Saccharomyces cerevisiae S288C: one gene and its partners. The gene in region 1 interacts genetically with each later gene. Each region holds a gene or a part of one and is shown in the gene's direction. Other genes may lie near its edges.

The links. A genetic interaction does not mean that the proteins touch.
Region 2: mutations in ZWF1 (region 1) and RPE1 are lethal when combined (synthetic lethality), as found in Saccharomyces cerevisiae (4 studies listed by BioGRID, with this or other methods).
Region 3: mutations in ZWF1 (region 1) and TAL1 impair growth when combined (synthetic growth defect), as found in Saccharomyces cerevisiae (4 studies listed by BioGRID, with this or other methods).

The regions. Positions count from the first base shown.
Region 1 is NC_001146.8:192,895-201,052, reverse strand, and holds ZWF1 (glucose-6-phosphate dehydrogenase), read left to right. Parts: upstream 1-3,109; coding exon 3,110-4,627; downstream 4,628-8,158. Other genes in the region: LAP3 (bleomycin hydrolase), read right to left, coding at 1-484; iron-sulfur cluster assembly protein NAR1, read left to right, coding at 1,076-2,551; ATG2 (Atg2p), read right to left, coding at 4,951-8,158. UniProt on the Saccharomyces cerevisiae protein: Catalyzes the rate-limiting step of the oxidative pentose-phosphate pathway, which represents a route for the dissimilation of carbohydrates besides glycolysis.
Region 2 is NC_001142.9:188,111-195,827, reverse strand, and holds RPE1 (ribulose-phosphate 3-epimerase RPE1), read left to right. Parts: upstream 1-4,737; coding exon 4,738-5,454; downstream 5,455-7,717. Other genes in the region: SUN family protein NCA3, read left to right, coding at 955-1,968; PHO86 (Pho86p), read right to left, coding at 2,362-3,297; YJL118W (uncharacterized protein), read right to left, coding at 3,530-4,189; ALB1 (Alb1p), read right to left, coding at 5,585-6,112; DUF5427 domain-containing protein MTC1, read left to right, coding at 6,388-7,717.
Region 3 is NC_001144.5:834,087-841,893, reverse strand, and holds TAL1 (sedoheptulose-7-phosphate:D-glyceraldehyde-3-phosphate transaldolase TAL1), read left to right. Parts: upstream 1-4,536; coding exon 4,537-5,544; downstream 5,545-7,807. Other genes in the region: RSC2 (Rsc2p), read right to left, coding at 1-563; ATG33 (Atg33p), read right to left, coding at 980-1,573; ILV5 (ketol-acid reductoisomerase), read left to right, coding at 2,641-3,828; BUD8 (Bud8p), read right to left, coding at 5,731-7,542. UniProt on the Saccharomyces cerevisiae protein: Transaldolase is important for the balance of metabolites in the pentose-phosphate pathway.

The DNA.
Region 1 (8,158 bases):
AATCTTTGGGGATAAGGCCATACTTCTTGACTAGGTTCAAAAACATGCTGTATTGGCCACCGTCTTCTGTTGGAGCTGCTAACAAGTATTGCACGAGACGTGAGTCGATGTCTTGATCAGCCGAGGAGACGATTTGGTCCAAGAAATAGTTGGCCTTTTCCAACTTATCGTAAAAGAACAAGTAAGCTTGGGACAGTTCGAATTCTTTTAAGTTCAATTCAGAAAGAACATTCAAGCGCAGTTGATTGGTAGCGGCAAACAACCAACATCTACCAGAGCTTTTTTGGTTGGTGACTGGAGTGGAATCAGTAGAGACAACAGTGTTGAAAACCCTGTTATCTTGCTTTTGCAGTCTAGTCTTGTTCAACAGTGCATCATCGGCATTATAATTCTTAAGGACAGTGGTTGCCAATTGATGGGTTAAGTCGGATTGAAACTCTTTGTTCCAAGAGTTGATCTTACTGATATCGATGGAAGAGGACATTCTTTTTAAAACAATTTGTGGTGCTCGTAAAAGGTGGCTTCTAAACGTCTTGAGATACAAGGACCGGGAAACAGAAGTAGGAAGCATGTAACAAAAGAGCAAGGGCTATTTATCGTTTATTTATGGGTGCCCGTCGGCGACTTGTCAGCCGGCGTTATCAATTGATTACCACATGCAACCCCATTGATTAAGAGAGCAGGTGACTTTCTGGTGGGAGGGGAAAAAAGGATGTGTCACTCACTACCCGGCGATTGCATGCTATTTGACACATACTAAAGCAAAATAACATATGTAGCATAATCAATAAAGCGACTATTTTCTAAATTTCAAAAAGCACTGAATATACGATGCCTCTTCACAGGATTAAGAGACAAAATTTGCCTGTTTGTAAAGCATATTGCCTGCCTTTCCGCTAGTTTTTTCTTTTCCACTTCCTATTTTCTTTTTTTACCAGTTTTCCCTGCTCATCGCATGAAGAAAAAAATGATAAAAGCGTTTTATGGTGATGACTAAGAAACTTGTCTTGTCAGCTGGAAAGATAAGAGAGGGAGCTTCCTTTTCCTGAGTGACAAGATAAGTGTACAAGAAAGCATGAGTGCTCTACTGTCCGAGTCTGACCTAAACGATTTTATCAGTCCCGCCCTTGCGTGCGTCAAACCTACCCAGGTGAGCGGGGGCAAGAAGGATAACGTTAACATGAACGGAGAATACGAGGTGAGCACGGAACCAGACCAACTGGAGAAGGTCTCTATTACCCTATCAGACTGCCTCGCGTGTTCTGGTTGTATAACGTCTAGTGAAGAAATCTTGTTGAGTAGCCAAAGTCACTCGGTTTTCCTGAAAAACTGGGGGAAGCTTTCGCAGCAGCAAGACAAATTCCTCGTTGTGAGTGTCTCGCCACAATGCAGACTATCTCTTGCGCAGTACTACGGCTTAACATTGGAGGCGGCCGATTTGTGTTTGATGAATTTTTTCCAAAAGCATTTCCAGTGCAAGTATATGGTTGGAACGGAGATGGGCAGAATCATATCGATTAGCAAAACCGTAGAGAAGATCATTGCGCATAAGAAACAAAAAGAAAATACCGGTGCGGACCGCAAGCCTCTATTATCTGCTGTGTGTCCGGGATTTCTTATATACACGGAAAAGACCAAACCGCAGTTGGTGCCTATGCTGCTCAATGTCAAGTCGCCTCAGCAAATTACGGGCTCGTTGATCAGAGCTACGTTCGAGAGTCTCGCTATCGCGCGTGAGTCCTTTTACCATCTGTCGCTGATGCCATGTTTTGACAAGAAACTAGAAGCGTCAAGGCCAGAATCGCTTGACGATGGGATTGACTGTGTCATTACGCCACGTGAAATAGTGACAATGTTACAAGAGTTGAATTTAGACTTCAAGTCGTTTCTTACTGAGGACACAAGTTTATATGGGCGGCTATCACCGCCGGGATGGGACCCGCGAGTCCACTGGGCGTCGAATCTGGGAGGCACTTGTGGTGGCTATGCCTACCAGTACGTAACGGCTGTCCAACGACTACACCCAGGAAGTCAGATGATAGTTCTGGAGGGTAGAAACAGCGACATTGTCGAGTACCGATTGCTGCACGATGATCGCATAATAGCCGCCGCCAGCGAGCTTTCCGGGTTTAGAAACATCCAAAATCTGGTGCGTAAACTGACCTCGGGCTCCGGGTCAGAGCGCAAGAGGAACATCACCGCTCTGCGGAAGAGACGAACAGGTCCAAAGGCGAACTCACGCGAGATGGCGGCCGCCACGGCCGCCACGGCCGATCCCTACCACTCGGACTACATCGAGGTAAACGCGTGTCCGGGTGCATGCATGAACGGTGGTGGCCTACTCAATGGCGAGCAAAACAGTCTCAAGCGGAAGCAGTTGGTTCAGACACTGAATAAGCGTCACGGAGAGGAGCTAGCAATGGTAGATCCTCTAACCCTGGGACCCAAGCTAGAAGAGGCGGCAGCCCGCCCGCTTTCGCTAGAGTACGTCTTCGCGCCCGTCAAGCAGGCCGTCGAAAAGGATCTCGTCTCTGTTGGGAGCACCTGGTAAGTAAGGTGTAGTTTTGCACCCGTGTACATAAGCGTGAAATCACCACAAACTGTGTGTATCAAGTACATAGTGACATTTAAATAATAGCAAGAACAACAATAATAGTAGCGCTACTGGAAGCACCACGTAATAGTGGAAAAGAACTGGAAAAACCGCTATAAGATGCATACTCCGGCGGTCTTACGCGGAGATACAAGCTTCCAACGGTGCTAAAAGCCCGGTTTCGGCTCGGCCGGAGGAGGAAGAGAGACGAAAAAAAAAAAAATGACTAAAAAAAAAATGGAATATTATTAATGTGGGATTTTTGGCTCAAGGTGTGGTGGCCCCTTTTCTAAGGGTGGCGAATTCTTCAATGTACGGAAAACTCGCCAAGGCTATCCCATATATAAGCAAACTGTGGGTTCATCTATATACCGACACATAACACCTAAAGTGGCTTCCTCCTGCCCCTCTCTCCCTTTTCTCCACTCACCCCTCCTTCTCCCCCTTCCCCCTCTCCAATTGGCTGTATAGACAGAAAGAGTAAATCCAATAGAATAGAAAACCACATAAGGCAAGATGAGTGAAGGCCCCGTCAAATTCGAAAAAAATACCGTCATATCTGTCTTTGGTGCGTCAGGTGATCTGGCAAAGAAGAAGACTTTTCCCGCCTTATTTGGGCTTTTCAGAGAAGGTTACCTTGATCCATCTACCAAGATCTTCGGTTATGCCCGGTCCAAATTGTCCATGGAGGAGGACCTGAAGTCCCGTGTCCTACCCCACTTGAAAAAACCTCACGGTGAAGCCGATGACTCTAAGGTCGAACAGTTCTTCAAGATGGTCAGCTACATTTCGGGAAATTACGACACAGATGAAGGCTTCGACGAATTAAGAACGCAGATCGAGAAATTCGAGAAAAGTGCCAACGTCGATGTCCCACACCGTCTCTTCTATCTGGCCTTGCCGCCAAGCGTTTTTTTGACGGTGGCCAAGCAGATCAAGAGTCGTGTGTACGCAGAGAATGGCATCACCCGTGTAATCGTAGAGAAACCTTTCGGCCACGACCTGGCCTCTGCCAGGGAGCTGCAAAAAAACCTGGGGCCCCTCTTTAAAGAAGAAGAGTTGTACAGAATTGACCATTACTTGGGTAAAGAGTTGGTCAAGAATCTTTTAGTCTTGAGGTTCGGTAACCAGTTTTTGAATGCCTCGTGGAATAGAGACAACATTCAAAGCGTTCAGATTTCGTTTAAAGAGAGGTTCGGCACCGAAGGCCGTGGCGGCTATTTCGACTCTATAGGCATAATCAGAGACGTGATGCAGAACCATCTGTTACAAATCATGACTCTCTTGACTATGGAAAGACCGGTGTCTTTTGACCCGGAATCTATTCGTGACGAAAAGGTTAAGGTTCTAAAGGCCGTGGCCCCCATCGACACGGACGACGTCCTCTTGGGCCAGTACGGTAAATCTGAGGACGGGTCTAAGCCCGCCTACGTGGATGATGACACTGTAGACAAGGACTCTAAATGTGTCACTTTTGCAGCAATGACTTTCAACATCGAAAACGAGCGTTGGGAGGGCGTCCCCATCATGATGCGTGCCGGTAAGGCTTTGAATGAGTCCAAGGTGGAGATCAGACTGCAGTACAAAGCGGTCGCATCGGGTGTCTTCAAAGACATTCCAAATAACGAACTGGTCATCAGAGTGCAGCCCGATGCCGCTGTGTACCTAAAGTTTAATGCTAAGACCCCTGGTCTGTCAAATGCTACCCAAGTCACAGATCTGAATCTAACTTACGCAAGCAGGTACCAAGACTTTTGGATTCCAGAGGCTTACGAGGTGTTGATAAGAGACGCCCTACTGGGTGACCATTCCAACTTTGTCAGAGATGACGAATTGGATATCAGTTGGGGCATATTCACCCCATTACTGAAGCACATAGAGCGTCCGGACGGTCCAACACCGGAAATTTACCCCTACGGATCAAGAGGTCCAAAGGGATTGAAGGAATATATGCAAAAACACAAGTATGTTATGCCCGAAAAGCACCCTTACGCTTGGCCCGTGACTAAGCCAGAAGATACGAAGGATAATTAGAAAAATGCAAGCACATTCATTTATCGGCTAAGTCACTGAAATTTTTTTTTTCGAGTGATTTTATCTTGCAAGCTCACTCTCTTTGTTCTTTTCTCCTCTATAATGGCATCTTCCCCCCACCAACTCCTCTCTACTTGCGTGTGTATTTGTTTGTATACATGTGTAAATATATATACATAAAAGAATGTCGTCTCATGTATTTTTTAACTTTTAGCCGCGGTCAGTGACATTTTGGCTTTCCCACCATTCCACGTCTGAAAAAAAAAAAAAAAAAAGAGATAAAATATGAATTGAATATATATCAAAAATGTCTGCAAAAATTTTTACGAATCAGTCCGATTGGACTTGTACTTATCATTGATTTGCTCGTTATGCGTCTTATCCACTTGATTAGCTATTCCCTGTAAAGTCTTAGACACTGCCTCAGTGGCCCCAATTAACGGCCGAATAATTGCCACAGGTGCAGCTCTAGCAACATAAACTGCTGCGGCGCTCGGCCCTCCCCGTTTATCATCCTTCATCTGTCCCTTTGCCCTCCATACCGCATCGTACGCAATATGCATATGCTTTTCTAATGAACTATACGCCTCCTTCAAACCCGTGGGCAGGTCGAGGGGCTGATCTGCGTACAGACTCACTATTGTGGGTTCGTTGTGATCTCCCGGTGAAGACATATCGATGACTACTGCCGTGGGCTCATGATCTCTTATCCTGGAATATTTACTACCAACTAACTGATCCTCCTCGAATAAAGTATCCAAGTCTAATACAGCTGCAGTATCACTGTCTGCACCATCAGCGGAGCCAAATTTCGATGCATCGTACACCCTGCCATTGGAACCAACACCACCGAATAGTTCCTCGGTGTTCTCCAATATCGCCTGTGTCCCTGAAGTTAATTTAACTCCCAATTTCACAAAATCTCCCGTTGTCGTTTTCAAGAAGACATTGCCACCCTTTTTCAGACTCCTTCCCAAATGCCCTTCTTGCCTGTATTCTGACATTAGTACTGTGACTAGGGTCTTCACCCCTGACCCAATCGCCATAAACGATCTGACAGGAGCCAGTCCTTCCAAAACGCCAGGCAGCTGCTTTTTGGTAATATCCGGCGTCCAAATGGCTTTCAGTTTATTATTTAATTCATCGAATCCATTTAATCCATACAGGACTACGCTTTTCAAAATAATCTTGGATCCATCAAGGGTAAAAAAATTCATCAATTCAGAAGTTTGGCCCGATCTTAAACCCGCATAATCAACTTTTTTCGGCTTATAATCTAATCTTAACTTAATTGAATTAGTGCTAAATTTTTGAATAAATACAATATCTGGATACTCATCAATTAATTCAAATCTTTTATCTTTGAACCCTAAGAACCTTATTAGAAACTCTAAAGTGTCTTGATCCACGTGAAGGCGTAAAGGCGCAACATTTAATTGCATGACTAATTCCACTGCTTGCAAAAAGTCGATCGGCCGGATAAATTCCAGGTCCAGAAGAAACATCGGAGAACTGTGTGGCCACGGTTCGTGCTTTAGCAAAGTTACAAATTTATTCCAGGTGGACGTGGGAACATTATCGATAATTTCAAATTCGTAAATGGAAACTACACATCGGTTCAAAACATCTGTGGAATTATCAGAGTTAGACTCATCGGGTTCATCTACTCGATAATTCTTCAAATTGACATGTACTTTGTTCAATTGAATCAGGGCTTTGTAATGCTTAGAAGGTCGCAAATTAACTTTAGAGACATCAGAGAAGGAATTCTGAACCCCCTGGATCTCACCATCAAGATTTCTTCTCAAATCTGTGACATTGTTTTTGTTAGCAGATATATAAATAGAGTCAAAAATATTTGCCTCTGATTGGGGTACATTTGATTTCGAACTGCTTGCTTCCGCTTTACTGAGCTCTTTATCCAGTTTTTCAACAGTATTAGCGATAAATTTCCGCGTATATTTCCAATCATACCCATCGAATAGTTTTATAACAACTTTTTCGACATCTATACTACCCCTTATATCCACATCCCTTTCTTGCTCTTTTGAGGCGATTGGTGGAGTATCTTCTTCTTTTGGCTGAGCAGAGTCTAGATAACTCTCATGGGGAAGTAAAATACCACCTGTGGCAGTTCCAGAGGAACTGTCCATTTCATATGAACCTTGAGAGGATAGTTTACTTCTGGCACCATTGTTGAACTCGTGAGTTTTGTCGAGAAAACTGTCTACCAAATGCACTGAGTCGTAATCATTTTGATGATTGTTCTCCCGGATGAAGGCAGAATTGAAAAGATCACAATCGATGTCTTTGAATACATCGATAGGATTTTTCAACTGCGTTCTAAATTTTTCCTCATCAGGAAACGTCTGAGGATATTTTAAATCAATACAAAGCTGACAAAAAGTTTGAAAAGAATCCGCGCATAATGAAAGACCAACTTGTTCTATTTTACAATCCAATAAAAGGGCACCATCGGATTTGTTTATTAAAAAATTCAAAGTATCTATTTTACCGATTGCAGAGAAACCTTGACCAGCATAAAAATTTATCAAACTAGGCCAGTTCTTATCTTTTTGAATTTTGAAATTCTGATAGTCATCTATTAGGAAGAGTGTATTCGCCTTTGAAAGAAGCTTTGCCTGCGGAATAAATGAACTTCCACCAGTTGTTAGATTGTCAAGTACAATGACCATTACACTTTTTAATCTGAAAGGGTGCAGAATTAGAGAGCAGTCCAGACATTTGAGTTCCCAGGGAAATCCTGAAGTCGGTTGTTTTTTACTAAGCTTTTGTGAAACAGGTTCATCTTTTGAACTGGCATTATCCGGGCCGATGTTTTTCTTTAGTATTTCTAACCACCTTGCATAGTAATGTATGCGAATGTTGTTAAAAATGACTTTTAACTTTCCATTCGCCCTTCTATGAACATATAGTACAGGTTCGTTAACTGCTTTATTCAAAACTACTGACATGATTTCTTGTGGCTCTAATAATGACGGTGTCTTTCTTTCTACCTTTAAGTTCTTTGTAAAATATACAATTTGAGAGTCATCCGTAATCGCAAAGAAATTATTTGATAGTAATGCTTCCACAGAACCAAATTGCGGCCCTATAATTTCTGATACTTTTAACTTCATGGAATCTATCTTGAGAGAAAAATTAGCGGATAAACTCTGCTTGTAAACGAACCTGGAAGAATTAAGTACTCTGACACTTCTCTGCAAAAAGGAGCCTCTCTTGCTTTTAGACTTTCCTGTACATTCACTGTTCTTTGAATCCGTGAAAAGTTTTCCAAACGCAGAAATATCTTCGACTAATTGTACTATTCCAGAATATTCTTCGTTAAATATCACTTCTTTGATGATTGCATGGACAGAACTATAAATTAGCGCTTCTTTCAAAGTATCGTCATATGAACCCAGTTGTAGAGGGGATTGCAAGTTCGAGATCGTAATGCTCGACATTGTCAATATTTTCGTGCACCGAGAAGGTAGTTTTTTAAATACGTCTACAAGCTCAATGTACAAC
Region 2 (7,717 bases), on another chromosome or scaffold:
CTTATTCATGAAGGAGACGTAAAGTCAGGCAAGGCTGCGGCATCATGTCTACTTGTCATAACTCAATTTGCCTATTTCTTACGGCTTCTCATAAAACGTCCCACACTATTCAGGGGAAGGCTACACGGAAACCCCAATAAAGGAAACGAAGAAGTGACCTTAGCCTTCGTCATCCGCGCCCACTACTCTCTTCCTAGTCGCCCGGTTGTTGAAAGTTTAATTGTGGGTTTTCTTTCACGACACACCTCACTGAAAAAAGAAACGAGCGGAGGAATAGTATGATAAATCTTCAGCATAGATGGGTAACGGGATCCCTCTGTGAGGGCCGATTATGCAGGCCTAGACCCGCACGTGACCACTTCGAGAGCAAGTTGCCTGCGAGTTTCTCTGCCCGAGGAAAAAGAAATGGAGGCAATTTACTTAATATGGTATGAGAGGATCTTTTGACGGCAAATAGATGCGCCATCTCCGAGAAAAAATCTAGACAATAACAGCGACAATTAACCTAAAGAGGATAGAAGATCGAGCAAAAAAATTTTTTTAATATGGGGTCAGTGGCGATATTATACTATAGGAGTTAAAGAGTAAGTTGAGTGTAAGGTGGTAGAATTATGATTGAACTCCGAAACTAAGCGCCGATTATGGGTGGCAAAGCGGACAGCTTTTGATATATAATCGATCGCTCTCGTAGTTGATATCCTCTCTCTTGCTTATCTTTTCCTGTATATAGTATATGTGTACATACAGATACGAATATACCTCAGTTAGTTTGTTTTAACATTAAATATTCAACAGTTGCCAGTAGCAAAAAGAATATATCCATTCATTTCGAGCTTTTTCGTCTCATTACTGATATCCAACTAACAGTCTCCTCATAGACGGTACCTTACTTTCCTTTAATATTATAATACTAGTATAGTCGCACATACTTAACTCGTCTCTCTCTAACACATAATGAAAATTTCCGCAGCTTTAATATTGTCTTCCCTTTCTTCTGTCGCATTTTCTGCCCCTGCACCTGCTCCAGCGGACAGTCACCATGAAGATCATCACAAAGATGAAAAACCAGCGGTTGTCACTGTCACTCAATACATAGATTCCAATGCCGCTACTAGTACTGTAGAATCTGCTGCTACTACCACTACATTGTCCTCATCTGAGAAGGATACCTCTGAACAGAAGCGTGATGGCGGATTCCAAGATGGTACTGTCAAATGTTCGGACTTCCCTTCTGTAAACGGTATAGTTTCCTTGGACTGGCTAGGATTTGGTGGATGGGCCTCTGTCATGGACATGGATGCCAACACTTCGTCCGAATGTAAGGATGGCTACTACTGTTCTTATGCATGTGAACCTGGAATGTCAAAGACTCAATGGCCTTCTGACCAACCAAGCGATGGTAAATCTGTTGGTGGTCTTTACTGTAAAAATGGTTACTTGTACCGTACCAACACTGATACCAGCGATTTATGTTCTACGGATGAAACATCTGCTAAGGCCATTAACAAAAAGTCTGACTCCATTGCTCTATGTAGGACGGATTACCCAGGATCAGAAAACATGGTGATTCCCACAGTGGTTGATGGTGGAGATTCACAACCAATTTCAGTCGTTGATGAAGACACTTATTATCAATGGCAGGGTAAAAAGACTTCTGCTCAGTACTATATTAACAACGCCGGTGTATCTGCAGAAGATGGGTGCATTTGGGGTACTTCTGGTTCGGATGTCGGCAACTGGGCTCCACTAGTGTTAGGTGCTGGTTCCACTAATGGAGAAACATACTTGTCGTTGATTCCAAACCCCAACAGTAACCAAGCTGCCAACTTTAACGTTAAAATAGTTGCATCCGATGGCGCTAACGTTCAGGGCAGCTGTGCGTATGAAGATGGCTCTTTCACCGGAGATGGTTCCGATGGTTGCACAGTTTCTGTTTTATCTGGATCTGCTGAATTTGTTTTCTATTAAGTCATTCTTCTTTTCGGTAAAAGAATGTCTTGTATTTTGATACCCTCAATTCCCCTTATTATTCTTTTTCTTCCGCTCTCTATTTATTATTATACATTGGGATTCCGTTATATTTTTCTCCTTTCAGTTCATTTTACTTCTTAAAAAGTTTCGTTGATCGCTATTATGCTATGGATTCAAAGATTTTCTTTTCTCTCTCTTCAAGGTGTACTCTGCATTACGGTTTTCTTTAGTTCGTTTATTTTTTTTTTGTTAACAAGGTGTTTGTATACATATATATAAATATATGGAAATATTATAGTGTTTATTTTGTTACTTCCTGCGAGTTGCAACAGAACTAACAAGATGCCATGCTGTTTTTTTTCATTTTTTGGCTATAAAAATAACAGTATCCTAGTCCTTGTGTTCGGCTTTAAAATGGAATTGCAAACCCCATAATTCCTTCTTCACACCGAACAAACCGCCTAGTAGTCGATTTTCAGAGACTCTAATGCTTTGAATATAAGTGAACCCTTTTTTCTTCAAAATTTCCTTAAGCGTGCTATCGAATGAGTAGACATCAATCAAGAGTTTCATGGTCTCCCCGTATTTGCCGCTGCTTCTAATATTTTTGGAGTGTAGCATAGCCCAATCAATCAAATCTTCGATAATGCCACTTTTTACATATACACGACGACAACCCACAGTAGTAACACTCATGACTAAATTTTCATCAGTACTTAATGTCATGTTAGGGGCTAACGAAATCAATGCAATGGGCGTTTCTCTATAAACGATGATATGCGTATTGTTCACCACTGGATCCTTTGTTTCATGTCTTGCCACCAAATCATTCAAATTGATGCCGAAAACTTTCTCACCTTTAGAACCAACAAGTTGGTTGATCTTCGACTTGAAATACGAGTCAGATACACGTGAGAGGAGGGTGAACAAGAAAGATGCACCAATTGCGGTGAACACTAAACCGCTGAGGACGACCTTCTTATTAATACGAGCCAGCTGGTAGAACCATCCAGCAACGGATCCTGTATTCCTTATCGGAAAGACAATTCTTGGCGTCAAGTAAATAAGCAGCCCAATGGTTAGAACAACAAGGATGACGGGATGGAAGAACAAATACTTATTAGCCAATGCCTGTTCTTGTCTGATGAAATCCGCGGACAAATTCAATGCAGCTGTACCATATTCTGGTTTCAAATTAACACTGTAAATAGTAGGAGGAGCATCAATATCAAGTGGTTTGTCTAATGATGCATCTACTTGTGGGACCGATGGGGCATTTTTATCGGACTTTCTACCCTCTTTCTTCTTTCTTTGTTGAACCGCCATTGTGCCACTCTTCCTACTCTTGTACTTTCGCTATGAAAAAATGTGCAACTGGAAGAGTCGTAATCAATCTAGAAAACTTAGTAAAAGTATGTGCTATATATCTATAAACATGAAAAGCTTTATTTGTGTGAGAGAGAAAAAAAGATGTTCTTTGGTCGTTATTCATTATAGTTTCCATAAAGAGCACGTGCGGGCGCGCTGGGTAATGCGGGTGTGAATTTTCAGTTATAGGTCAACTACAACAGCAGGTCGAGAGGGCTTCTTCAGAAAGCGAGAGGTCGTACCAGGGATGATGTTGCGGGAGCTGCTGTTGCTGCTGCTGATAATGCACCAGTGCAGTTGGACTGGGAAGAGCAAGTGGAACAGCCACCATCTGGATTTCCATTATTGGGTACATATTTGAGAGTGGACGCTCGATGCGATGTGGTCTTCGACGCCTCCGCTTCCTCTTGATGGCTACGATCCTCAGACGAGGCCGTTTGCGTCTCTTAACGTGTGTGTGTTGTATAATGGGAGAACAGGGTTGTCTCTCCTCGGTCTTGCGCTTTTTCACTCGCAATACAGCATGCCCAAGAGTGCAGAGCCTATCAATGAGATAATTGATTAGAATAGAATTTATCAGTGGGTCGACAATAATGAACCACTTGACAACGGTCTTGGCCGCACGTAAAACCTGTGTGGTGCGAGAAGCAACGAATCTGTATACAGTTGATACAGAACGTCGGATCAACAAAATGGGGCGTGATGAAGAAAAAAAGTGGCGATCCCGTGGAGGACATTGGTGCATGGATGATTCAATCATACAATTTACGACATTTAACCAAAGTTGCACTCTGATGGGCTCAACGACTGCTACTCGTGCCAATAATGAAACTGAAAAGCATGAAGCCATCACTGTTTTTTTCGTGGTCTTTCTATATATAAACAAAGCCTCTGTAAAGTTTTTTTTTTTCGCATAACAAACGCGCTTATCTGAGACATAACAACAGCCAACGACCGATGCCTGCGTGGAATAAACAATAATACGCTGCAGAGGATAAAAAGAGAGGTATCATGTCTATTTATTCTCTGCTTTTCTAATCAAATGTGTATTGTATGCTGAACCATGCCGGTTGGTTGCTTCTTCCGGTAATTGCATTCAAGTCCTGCAACTTTAAATGTCCTCTTATAAAGCAGGACGTGGCTTCAGAAACAAAAAATGTGTCGCCAAGAGAAAACAAGAACAGCTATCCAAGTCGAGCTGGGAAAGTAATCAGATTTTTGTATATGTATAGGTACTTTCTTGATCCGTAAGCTGGAACTTCTTTCATGATCTCTGTTATAGGAAAGCCAGAATAGAAAGAATCCGCCCGTAAAAAGAAAAATAAAGCAAACTCGATACAATTTCATGCAAGAAGGCCATTTGCTAATTCCAAGAGCGAGGTAAACACACAAGAAAAAATGGTCAAACCAATTATAGCTCCCAGTATCCTTGCTTCTGACTTCGCCAACTTGGGTTGCGAATGTCATAAGGTCATCAACGCCGGCGCAGATTGGTTACATATCGATGTCATGGACGGCCATTTTGTTCCAAACATTACTCTGGGCCAACCAATTGTTACCTCCCTACGTCGTTCTGTGCCACGCCCTGGCGATGCTAGCAACACAGAAAAGAAGCCCACTGCGTTCTTCGATTGTCACATGATGGTTGAAAATCCTGAAAAATGGGTCGACGATTTTGCTAAATGTGGTGCTGACCAATTTACGTTCCACTACGAGGCCACACAAGACCCTTTGCATTTAGTTAAGTTGATTAAGTCTAAGGGCATCAAAGCTGCATGCGCCATCAAACCTGGTACTTCTGTTGACGTTTTATTTGAACTAGCTCCTCATTTGGATATGGCTCTTGTTATGACTGTGGAACCTGGGTTTGGAGGCCAAAAATTCATGGAAGACATGATGCCAAAAGTGGAAACTTTGAGAGCCAAGTTCCCCCATTTGAATATCCAAGTCGATGGTGGTTTGGGCAAGGAGACCATCCCGAAAGCCGCCAAAGCCGGTGCCAACGTTATTGTCGCTGGTACCAGTGTTTTCACTGCAGCTGACCCGCACGATGTTATCTCCTTCATGAAAGAAGAAGTCTCGAAGGAATTGCGTTCTAGAGATTTGCTAGATTAGTTGTACATATGCGGCATTTCTTATATTTATACTCTCTATACTATACGATATGGTATTTTTTTCTCGTTTTGATCTCCTAATATACATAAACCGAGCCATTCCTACTATACAAGATACGTAAGTGCCTAACTCATGGGAAAAATGGGCCGCCCAGGGTGGTGCCTTGTCCGTTTTCGATGATCAATCCCTGGGATGCAGTATCGTCAATGACACTCCATAAGGCTTCCTTAACCAAAGTCAAAGAACTCTTCTTTTCATTCTCTTTCACTTTCTTACCGCCATCTAGATCAATATCCATTTCGTCTTCTAGCTTAGCGCTTGCGTCAACCAATAATTTTCTCTGTGTAGCATATTTTAAGTTTCTCTCGATTTTCTTAGCTCTCTTTTTGGAAAGTGTCCTCGTGGTGATGGAGGCCGGAGAAGATGAAGCATTTTGTAATGTCACAGCAGTGGAATTCTGACTTTCGTTCTTCTTGTTTTGGAAGTATAGGTCCAACGCTACTGATTTTATTTCCCCAGATTTCGAATTTACGCTGGATCTAGCTGGCTTCAAGAGACCAGCTCTTTCTCTTTGAGCTCTTTTCTTATTTAAAGAGTGCACCTTGTGGTGCAAATTTGAAGTCAGCTTAGGTCTGTTGATGGAGTTTTTAGAAGGCATTATGGGTTGGCTGTGCTAGTCTCTTCGGCAAGCACCTCATCGACTAATGCCGCCATAAGTTATAACCATATATTAATATTGATACTCTCTATGAAAATTTTAGCGAAAAAAAATTTTGCGATGAGATCATTCCAAACGGATTGACGCGTGGAAGAAACCGGCGATTTTCTGGTTTCTGGTTCTTTGATGGAAGTTGGACGAGACGGTGAAGAATAGAACAAGGGACAGGTTAACTAGACTCAATCGATTAAAAACATACATACTACCAGGGCAAAATGTCTGAAAATAAGAACTCTGAGGCTGAAGACGTATTTGAATTTTTAGATTCTTTGCCAGAAGCAAAGAATGGCGGGAAAATGGTTAATACTGACGTAAAGGGTAGCCAAGAAGGCGTTAAGGGAGGTTCTAATTCTGTGGCGGGCAAGACCGGGAATGATGGAAAGAAAGGTGACGATGATATCTTTGAATTCTTAGAAGAGTTGGAGAAGAGTAACTTAAGCTTAACTGACAAGAAAGGGGTTGAAAAGAAGGCTCCCAGTGAATCAGTTAATAATAAAGCACAAGACGAAAAAGTAGAAGAATCAAAAGAAAACAAAAATTCCGAGCAGGACGCTCACGGAAAGGAAAAGGAACCACAGCAGCAGGAGAAAGAAGAAGAAGAGGAGGAAGAAGAAGAAGAAGAAGAGGAGGAGGAGGAGACCCCATTGCATGACCCAATTGCTTCTATTTCAAACTGGTGGTCCTCCTCTGGATCCGCAAAGGTATCGAGTATTTGGAATAAAACTGCAGAACAAGCATCCCAGATCAAAAACCGACTTGCCCAAGAACAGCTTGATTTGACTTCAAAGATAAACACGAGCACGATTACTGAAATAGCCAGAAACTTACAGAAAATCGTTGTTGGTGAGACTGAAGAGGTGCTGCGAATTCATCTAGTCCATGATTTGGTTAACTATCCCTCATTACAATACAATATTGAAAGCAAGTTTGATCAAGTTCTAAGCTCACAAGTTGAGGGAGGAATCAGAATATTTGTAGATGAATGGGGCCATCCTAACAATAATGGAATTACACCTGTGGAAAAAAAGCCTTCAGTTGCAGACGGTGAGTTAGGCAACTCTAAAAAAAAATTACAGTTTAATCTATTCGACGGCAAGGTAACAGACGGTGAGAAACTGGCATTTGCAAACCTGGAAAATGCAGTCAAACTCTTCAATACTGCACATGAGGAATACCAGAAACAACAGAAAGAGGCTGATGCCACTCCAGATGACGATAGGAGTTCTATTAGCAGTAACAGCAATAAAATCAGTGATTTATTCATATCCATCTTACCAATTGCCATTCCGCAAAAACAAAAAGATGCCGACGGTGACTTTCAAGTGACCGACTCCAATACGCCAGGCAATTTCAATTTCACCCTTGTATTGAAAGACATAACTAACGATATTACCACCATAACAAGATCACAAGGATTCCCTGTCAAATGGGTCAATTGGCTAGAAGGATCCGTGGAGAAAACAGGATCAACAGCAAGTGAGGAGAGGAATAAGTCATACGATCAAAAGAAACAAAAAGAAAGTGAAGACGAAGACGAAGACGATG
Region 3 (7,807 bases), on another chromosome or scaffold:
CTTTTGACGGAAGTACGAGTCTTTCTTAATCTTCTGGCTGCTTCTGTTGAATTCATTGAAGAGCTCGACTCGGCTCTGGCTGCATTAGCTCTCGCTACTTCCTCAGCTTTTTCTCTTAATTTCTGTTGAAACTCTTCATAACCTGGTTCATCGGGTAGAGGACCCAAATCAGGATACACTAATTGAGGATATTTTTCTTTTAAATTTGGATAGATTGTGTCCTTTAAATATTTCTCAAGGACTAAGGCGTATTTATAAATTCCTGAATCTCTTGTATTGTAAGTCTTGGCATTCCATGGAATCTGGACAACATCGTTCATAAACTGTTGAGCATCTGTATAATGTGGAATACGCTTTTTTAAAGTATTGAAAGATACAGGGTTCTTGATCACTGCGTAGTAGTCAGGATAATCCTTTTTAGGTGGAAGGACATTGAATATTGGTGAAATCTCTAACCCAGAATCTTCCTTTAAAGTGAAAAGAGATTCATATTCTTTCCTCAGGTCCTTGTATAATGCGCTTGAGTTTTGAGTGGACGAGTTTGAATTGTCATCAGGCATCATGCACTGTCAATGTAGAATATTCTCCGCTTCGTCTGGTTCTGCGCGACGTGCTGTATATTTGATCACGTATTGAACTGTTACCAATACTTTTTTCAGCTGTGTTGTTTTCTCTATTTTCTCACTTTAACATGCGAATTTTCGCACGACTCTCGGCCGGGTGAGAAAAGTCAGTGACAGTAATAAACCAAGTGCAAGAGCACCTACAAATGTGCTTATTACAGTGTATTATTATGTATATATGTGCATACGTGTGTGTATGCACAATTTTTGAACATACTGTCTTTTGAACGTTTGAAAACTCGTAGGAATATATAAAAAAACTGCAAATTACTACACACTTTATTTTTGGAGAGAGAGAGGAGCCGAGTTCAGGCAGCTACAAATTCTTGTAGAGATAAATACGTGAACGAGAAACACTAGATAAATTGTCCTTCCCCATAAACGCCAATAACGGCTTGTACAAAGCCAACAATAGCAATAGCAGTTGCTGCAATTAGATTTTTAGTATGGATTGGGGGACCGGTGTGCAATGCCTCTGCCGGCTTTGATACTGTGGTTGCTGCAGGCTTCCCGTCTCGAGGTGTATTTTCTGAAGCATGGTTGTCTTCACCTAAATCAATAATAGAATCGCTCAGTTCGGAAGCAGCGAGTTTGCTGTCTTCGGGAAATAAAGAAGATTCCTTAGAGACTTTACTGTACTTTCTAGACTGATAGTTGGAGGCACATCCTAGAACAAATGAAGATAATGGAGCTACAAGCATACCATAGAGTAAGTAGGGGTGTCTCAATGAGGGAGGAGCGCCGAAAAAGCTCACACAAAAGAAAGTTGACGCAAACGCTCCCAAGGCGGTGGCCGCATTTTTCAAAGTGGTTAAAGTGGGAGTAAGGGATCCTGTTAAAACCTCTAGTGGAGTAGTAGATGTAATCAATGAAGCGGAAGCCAAAAGACCAGAGTAGAGGCCTATAGAAGAAACTGCGATACCTTTTGTGATGGCTAAACAAACAGACATCTTTTTATATGTTTTTACTTCTGTATATCGTGAAGTAGTAAGTGATAAGCGAATTTGGCTAAGAACGTTGTAAGTGAACAAGGGACCTCTTTTGCCTTTCAAAAAAGGATTAAATGGAGTTAATCATTGAGATTTAGTTTTCGTTAGATTCTGTATCCCTAAATAACTCCCTTACCCGACGGGAAGGCACAAAAGACTTGAATAATAGCAAACGGCCAGTAGCCAAGACCAAATAATACTAGAGTTAACTGATGGTCTTAAACAGGCATTACGTGGTGAACTCCAAGACCAATATACAAAATATCGATAAGTTATTCTTGCCCACCAATTTAAGGAGCCTACATCAGGACAGTAGTACCATTCCTCAGAGAAGAGGTATACATAACAAGAAAATCGCGTGAACACCTTATATAACTTAGCCCGTTATTGAGCTAAAAAACCTTGCAAAATTTCCTATGAATAAGAATACTTCAGACGTGATAAAAATTTACTTTCTAACTCTTCTCACGCTGCCCCTATCTGTTCTTCCGCTCTACCGTGAGAAATAAAGCATCGAGTACGGCAGTTCGCTGTCACTGAACTAAAACAATAAGGCTAGTTCGAATGATGAACTTGCTTGCTGTCAAACTTCTGAGTTGCCGCTGATGTGACACTGTGACAATAAATTCAAACCGGTTATAGCGGTCTCCTCCGGTACCGGTTCTGCCACCTCCAATAGAGCTCAGTAGGAGTCAGAACCTCTGCGGTGGCTGTCAGTGACTCATCCGCGTTTCGTAAGTTGTGCGCGTGCACATTTCGCCCGTTCCCGCTCATCTTGCAGCAGGCGAAATTTTCATCACGCTGTAGGACGCAAAAAAAAAATAATTAATCGTACAAGAATCTTGGAAAAAAAATTGAAAAATTTTGTATAAAAGGGATGACCTAACTTGACTCAATGGCTTTTACACCCAGTATTTTCCCTTTCCTTGTTTGTTACAATTATAGAAGCAAGACAAAAACATATAGACAACCTATTCCTAGGAGTTATATTTTTTTACCCTACCAGCAATATAAGTAAAAAATAAAACATGTTGAGAACTCAAGCCGCCAGATTGATCTGCAACTCCCGTGTCATCACTGCTAAGAGAACCTTTGCTTTGGCCACCCGTGCTGCTGCTTACAGCAGACCAGCTGCCCGTTTCGTTAAGCCAATGATCACTACCCGTGGTTTGAAGCAAATCAACTTCGGTGGTACTGTTGAAACCGTCTACGAAAGAGCTGACTGGCCAAGAGAAAAGTTGTTGGACTACTTCAAGAACGACACTTTTGCTTTGATCGGTTACGGTTCCCAAGGTTACGGTCAAGGTTTGAACTTGAGAGACAACGGTTTGAACGTTATCATTGGTGTCCGTAAAGATGGTGCTTCTTGGAAGGCTGCCATCGAAGACGGTTGGGTTCCAGGCAAGAACTTGTTCACTGTTGAAGATGCTATCAAGAGAGGTAGTTACGTTATGAACTTGTTGTCCGATGCCGCTCAATCAGAAACCTGGCCTGCTATCAAGCCATTGTTGACCAAGGGTAAGACTTTGTACTTCTCCCACGGTTTCTCCCCAGTCTTCAAGGACTTGACTCACGTTGAACCACCAAAGGACTTAGATGTTATCTTGGTTGCTCCAAAGGGTTCCGGTAGAACTGTCAGATCTTTGTTCAAGGAAGGTCGTGGTATTAACTCTTCTTACGCCGTCTGGAACGATGTCACCGGTAAGGCTCACGAAAAGGCCCAAGCTTTGGCCGTTGCCATTGGTTCCGGTTACGTTTACCAAACCACTTTCGAAAGAGAAGTCAACTCTGACTTGTACGGTGAAAGAGGTTGTTTAATGGGTGGTATCCACGGTATGTTCTTGGCTCAATACGACGTCTTGAGAGAAAACGGTCACTCCCCATCTGAAGCTTTCAACGAAACCGTCGAAGAAGCTACCCAATCTCTATACCCATTGATCGGTAAGTACGGTATGGATTACATGTACGATGCTTGTTCCACCACCGCCAGAAGAGGTGCTTTGGACTGGTACCCAATCTTCAAGAATGCTTTGAAGCCTGTTTTCCAAGACTTGTACGAATCTACCAAGAACGGTACCGAAACCAAGAGATCTTTGGAATTCAACTCTCAACCTGACTACAGAGAAAAGCTAGAAAAGGAATTAGACACCATCAGAAACATGGAAATCTGGAAGGTTGGTAAGGAAGTCAGAAAGTTGAGACCAGAAAACCAATAAAGAGGAAAATAATATCAAGTGCTGGAAACTTTTTCTCTTGGAATTTTTGCAACATCAAGTCATAGTCAATTGAATTGACCCAATTTCACATTTAAGATTTTTTTTTTTTCATCCGACATACATCTGTACACTAGGAAGCCCTGTTTTTCTGAAGCAGCTTCAAATATATATATTTTTTACATATTTATTATGATTCAATGAACAATCTAATTAAATCGAAAACAAGAACCGAAACGCGAATAAATAATTTATTTAGATGGTGACAAGTGTATAAGTCCTCATCGGGACAGCTACGATTTCTCTTTCGGTTTTGGCTGAGCTACTGGTTGCTGTGACGCAGCGGCATTAGCGCGGCGTTATGAGCTACCCTCGTGGCCTGAAAGATGGCGGGAATAAAGCGGAACTAAAAATTACTGACTGAGCCATATTGAGGTCAATTTGTCAACTCGTCAAGTCACGTTTGGTGGACGGCCCCTTTCCAACGAATCGTATATACTAACATGCGCGCGCTTCCTATATACACATATACATATATATATATATATATATGTGTGCGTGTATGTGTACACCTGTATTTAATTTCCTTACTCGCGGGTTTTTCTTTTTTCTCAATTCTTGGCTTCCTCTTTCTCGAGTATATAATTTTTCAGGTAAAATTTAGTACGATAGTAAAATACTTCTCGAACTCGTCACATATACGTGTACATAATGTCTGAACCAGCTCAAAAGAAACAAAAGGTTGCTAACAACTCTCTAGAACAATTGAAAGCCTCCGGCACTGTCGTTGTTGCCGACACTGGTGATTTCGGCTCTATTGCCAAGTTTCAACCTCAAGACTCCACAACTAACCCATCATTGATCTTGGCTGCTGCCAAGCAACCAACTTACGCCAAGTTGATCGATGTTGCCGTGGAATACGGTAAGAAGCATGGTAAGACCACCGAAGAACAAGTCGAAAATGCTGTGGACAGATTGTTAGTCGAATTCGGTAAGGAGATCTTAAAGATTGTTCCAGGCAGAGTCTCCACCGAAGTTGATGCTAGATTGTCTTTTGACACTCAAGCTACCATTGAAAAGGCTAGACATATCATTAAATTGTTTGAACAAGAAGGTGTCTCCAAGGAAAGAGTCCTTATTAAAATTGCTTCCACTTGGGAAGGTATTCAAGCTGCCAAAGAATTGGAAGAAAAGGACGGTATCCACTGTAATTTGACTCTATTATTCTCCTTCGTTCAAGCAGTTGCCTGTGCCGAGGCCCAAGTTACTTTGATTTCCCCATTTGTTGGTAGAATTCTAGACTGGTACAAATCCAGCACTGGTAAAGATTACAAGGGTGAAGCCGACCCAGGTGTTATTTCCGTCAAGAAAATCTACAACTACTACAAGAAGTACGGTTACAAGACTATTGTTATGGGTGCTTCTTTCAGAAGCACTGACGAAATCAAAAACTTGGCTGGTGTTGACTATCTAACAATTTCTCCAGCTTTATTGGACAAGTTGATGAACAGTACTGAACCTTTCCCAAGAGTTTTGGACCCTGTCTCCGCTAAGAAGGAAGCCGGCGACAAGATTTCTTACATCAGCGACGAATCTAAATTCAGATTCGACTTGAATGAAGACGCTATGGCCACTGAAAAATTGTCCGAAGGTATCAGAAAATTCTCTGCCGATATTGTTACTCTATTCGACTTGATTGAAAAGAAAGTTACCGCTTAAGGAAGTATCTCGGAAATATTAATTTAGGCCATGTCCTTATGCACGTTTCTTTTGATACTTACGGGTACATGTACACAAGTATATCTATATATATAAATTAATGAAAATCCCCTATTTATATATATGACTTTAACGAGACAGAACAGTTTTTTATTTTTTATCCTATTTGATGAATGATACAGTTTCTTATTCACGTGTTATACCCACACCAAATCCAATAGCAATACCGGCCATCACAATCACTGTTTCGGCAGCCCCTAAGATCAGACAAAACATCCGGAACCACCTTAAATCAACGTCCCATATGAATCCTTGCAGCAAAGCCGCTCGGTGTTCTTTATTCATAAGCAACCTCATTAATCTATAGTCTGAAACTAATTTCCTTCTTGAGCTGCAGCCAATAATAAAAAATAATGGCGGCACTATACTACAACATAGGAGGATCACAATGATGTTTTCGATGCTGTAAACGTCCCTGAATCCATTTTGACCTGAATCAAACGAATGAATGGAAGCGGTATCGATATGTTGAATTGGCATTCTCGCCTCCAGGTCTATATTTTCAGCATCGTGCCTGTCTTCTTTCCTATTATCAGTTTTTTCTTGTTGCTTTCGTCGTATGCTTCGAGCTGGCTTTTCTATAATGGAGTTCTGTCCCGTGTCTGACTCCGAGCTTTGAGATTTAATTGGAGCTAGCACGAGGGGTTGTCCATGTTCTGGCAACGTTTTATTTTTCTTCTTGTTCATCTTGGTCAATGGAGAGGGCGTCTTGTGTCCTTCATAGCGTGAAAATGGATCAGACTTAGTTGAATTTCCAGATTCTAAGCGTAAAGGTGTCTTCGTCCATTTGCTTGGTCCGGACACACTTCTTAATACGGGAATTGAAGGTAGTCCAATTGGTGGACCTTCTTCTTCTAGGGATGTGGAGGGCTTGCGCGTAGATTTTGAACTGAATTTTTCTTCATTATTATGCCCTATATGGTCTTTAGGAGAACTTTCGTTACTACTGTCACTATTGTGTGAAGGAATCAATATGTTACCAATTAACGATGGACTCTGAGGAATTTTAATCTTCCTTGCCGACGTACCTGGCGCACCTGGCGAATGCGAATCATCACTTGTCGACGACTTTATTGATCCAGCCTTCTCTGGAATTTTTAGTTTGTGCGGTATAAATTTTGATTCATTCACAGGTTCGTATTGATCTATGACTTCATCCTCGGTCTCGCCTTCACCTTTACTGCCAGTTGAGCTTATAAAATTAACATTAGAAGTTTTATTCTTCGTTAGCCTCACTGCCTCTTCAACATCTGGTTCTAAGGTGTCATCGTAATGGTATGAGAAAAATGAGTGTTCCGTTGTTTCATTAGGTTCAATTGAGGTAGGACGTGGAGGTGTTCCATTCTTTGACTCGTCGTTCCCGCGATTCGCCAAAGATGAGTATAATGAAGATACGACCCTACTATGCTCTTGCTCTATAGGGCTTCCTTCAACATCTTCTCCCATAAGAACTGAAGTTGATATTGTCAGTGCGCAACTTAATCTCTGCGAAGATGGTGAATTCACTGCTCTTTCTGGCCGTACCGCCGCGTTTTGTGAAGGAGTTACGTTCCTTAACGGTACGGTATCCTCGTTGTCTCGTCGAAGTGAAGTTGGCCTTACAGTAGTGTTGCTTGGTATATTATTATCTTGGGTATCGTGAAATTGTGTAATAGAGGACGAGTTGCTACTAGAGCTAGAGCTTGTGGATGCTCCCATTATTTGAGAAAACCTTTCATTGTTGATGTATACAGCAAATCCTTGACCTCTACTTGTGGTTTCATAGGCAACAGTAGCCATCTCTGTCTCCGCATCGGGGTTCCCATGTGCTCCATTAAGATTTTCAAAAAACAAGGATGTTCTTAGTTGTAGTCTGGATGATACAGAGGAAGTACCACTATATGAAGTTGATGCTGTCGTTTCAGAAGAGTCCAAATTATCTTCGTCTGATTGTATCATACTTCATGTAGAATCGAAAAAATTCTCAAGTAGAAAGAGGATATTGGGTATTGTCAAAAATGCTTCGATTCAAGAAAGAAACTCCTAGAGTTAAGAGAAAGTTATAGTCTAAATTGAATTAAAATAAGCGAATGTAATTGGATTTATTATCTTATCAAAAGAATGAAAAGTATACCGGTAATCGCCTAGAAATAAAAATCGTCAATAATGAATATTAAAAAAGCAATTGAATGGTCTTTCTTTTGTTAACTAGAAGTTCGAACAA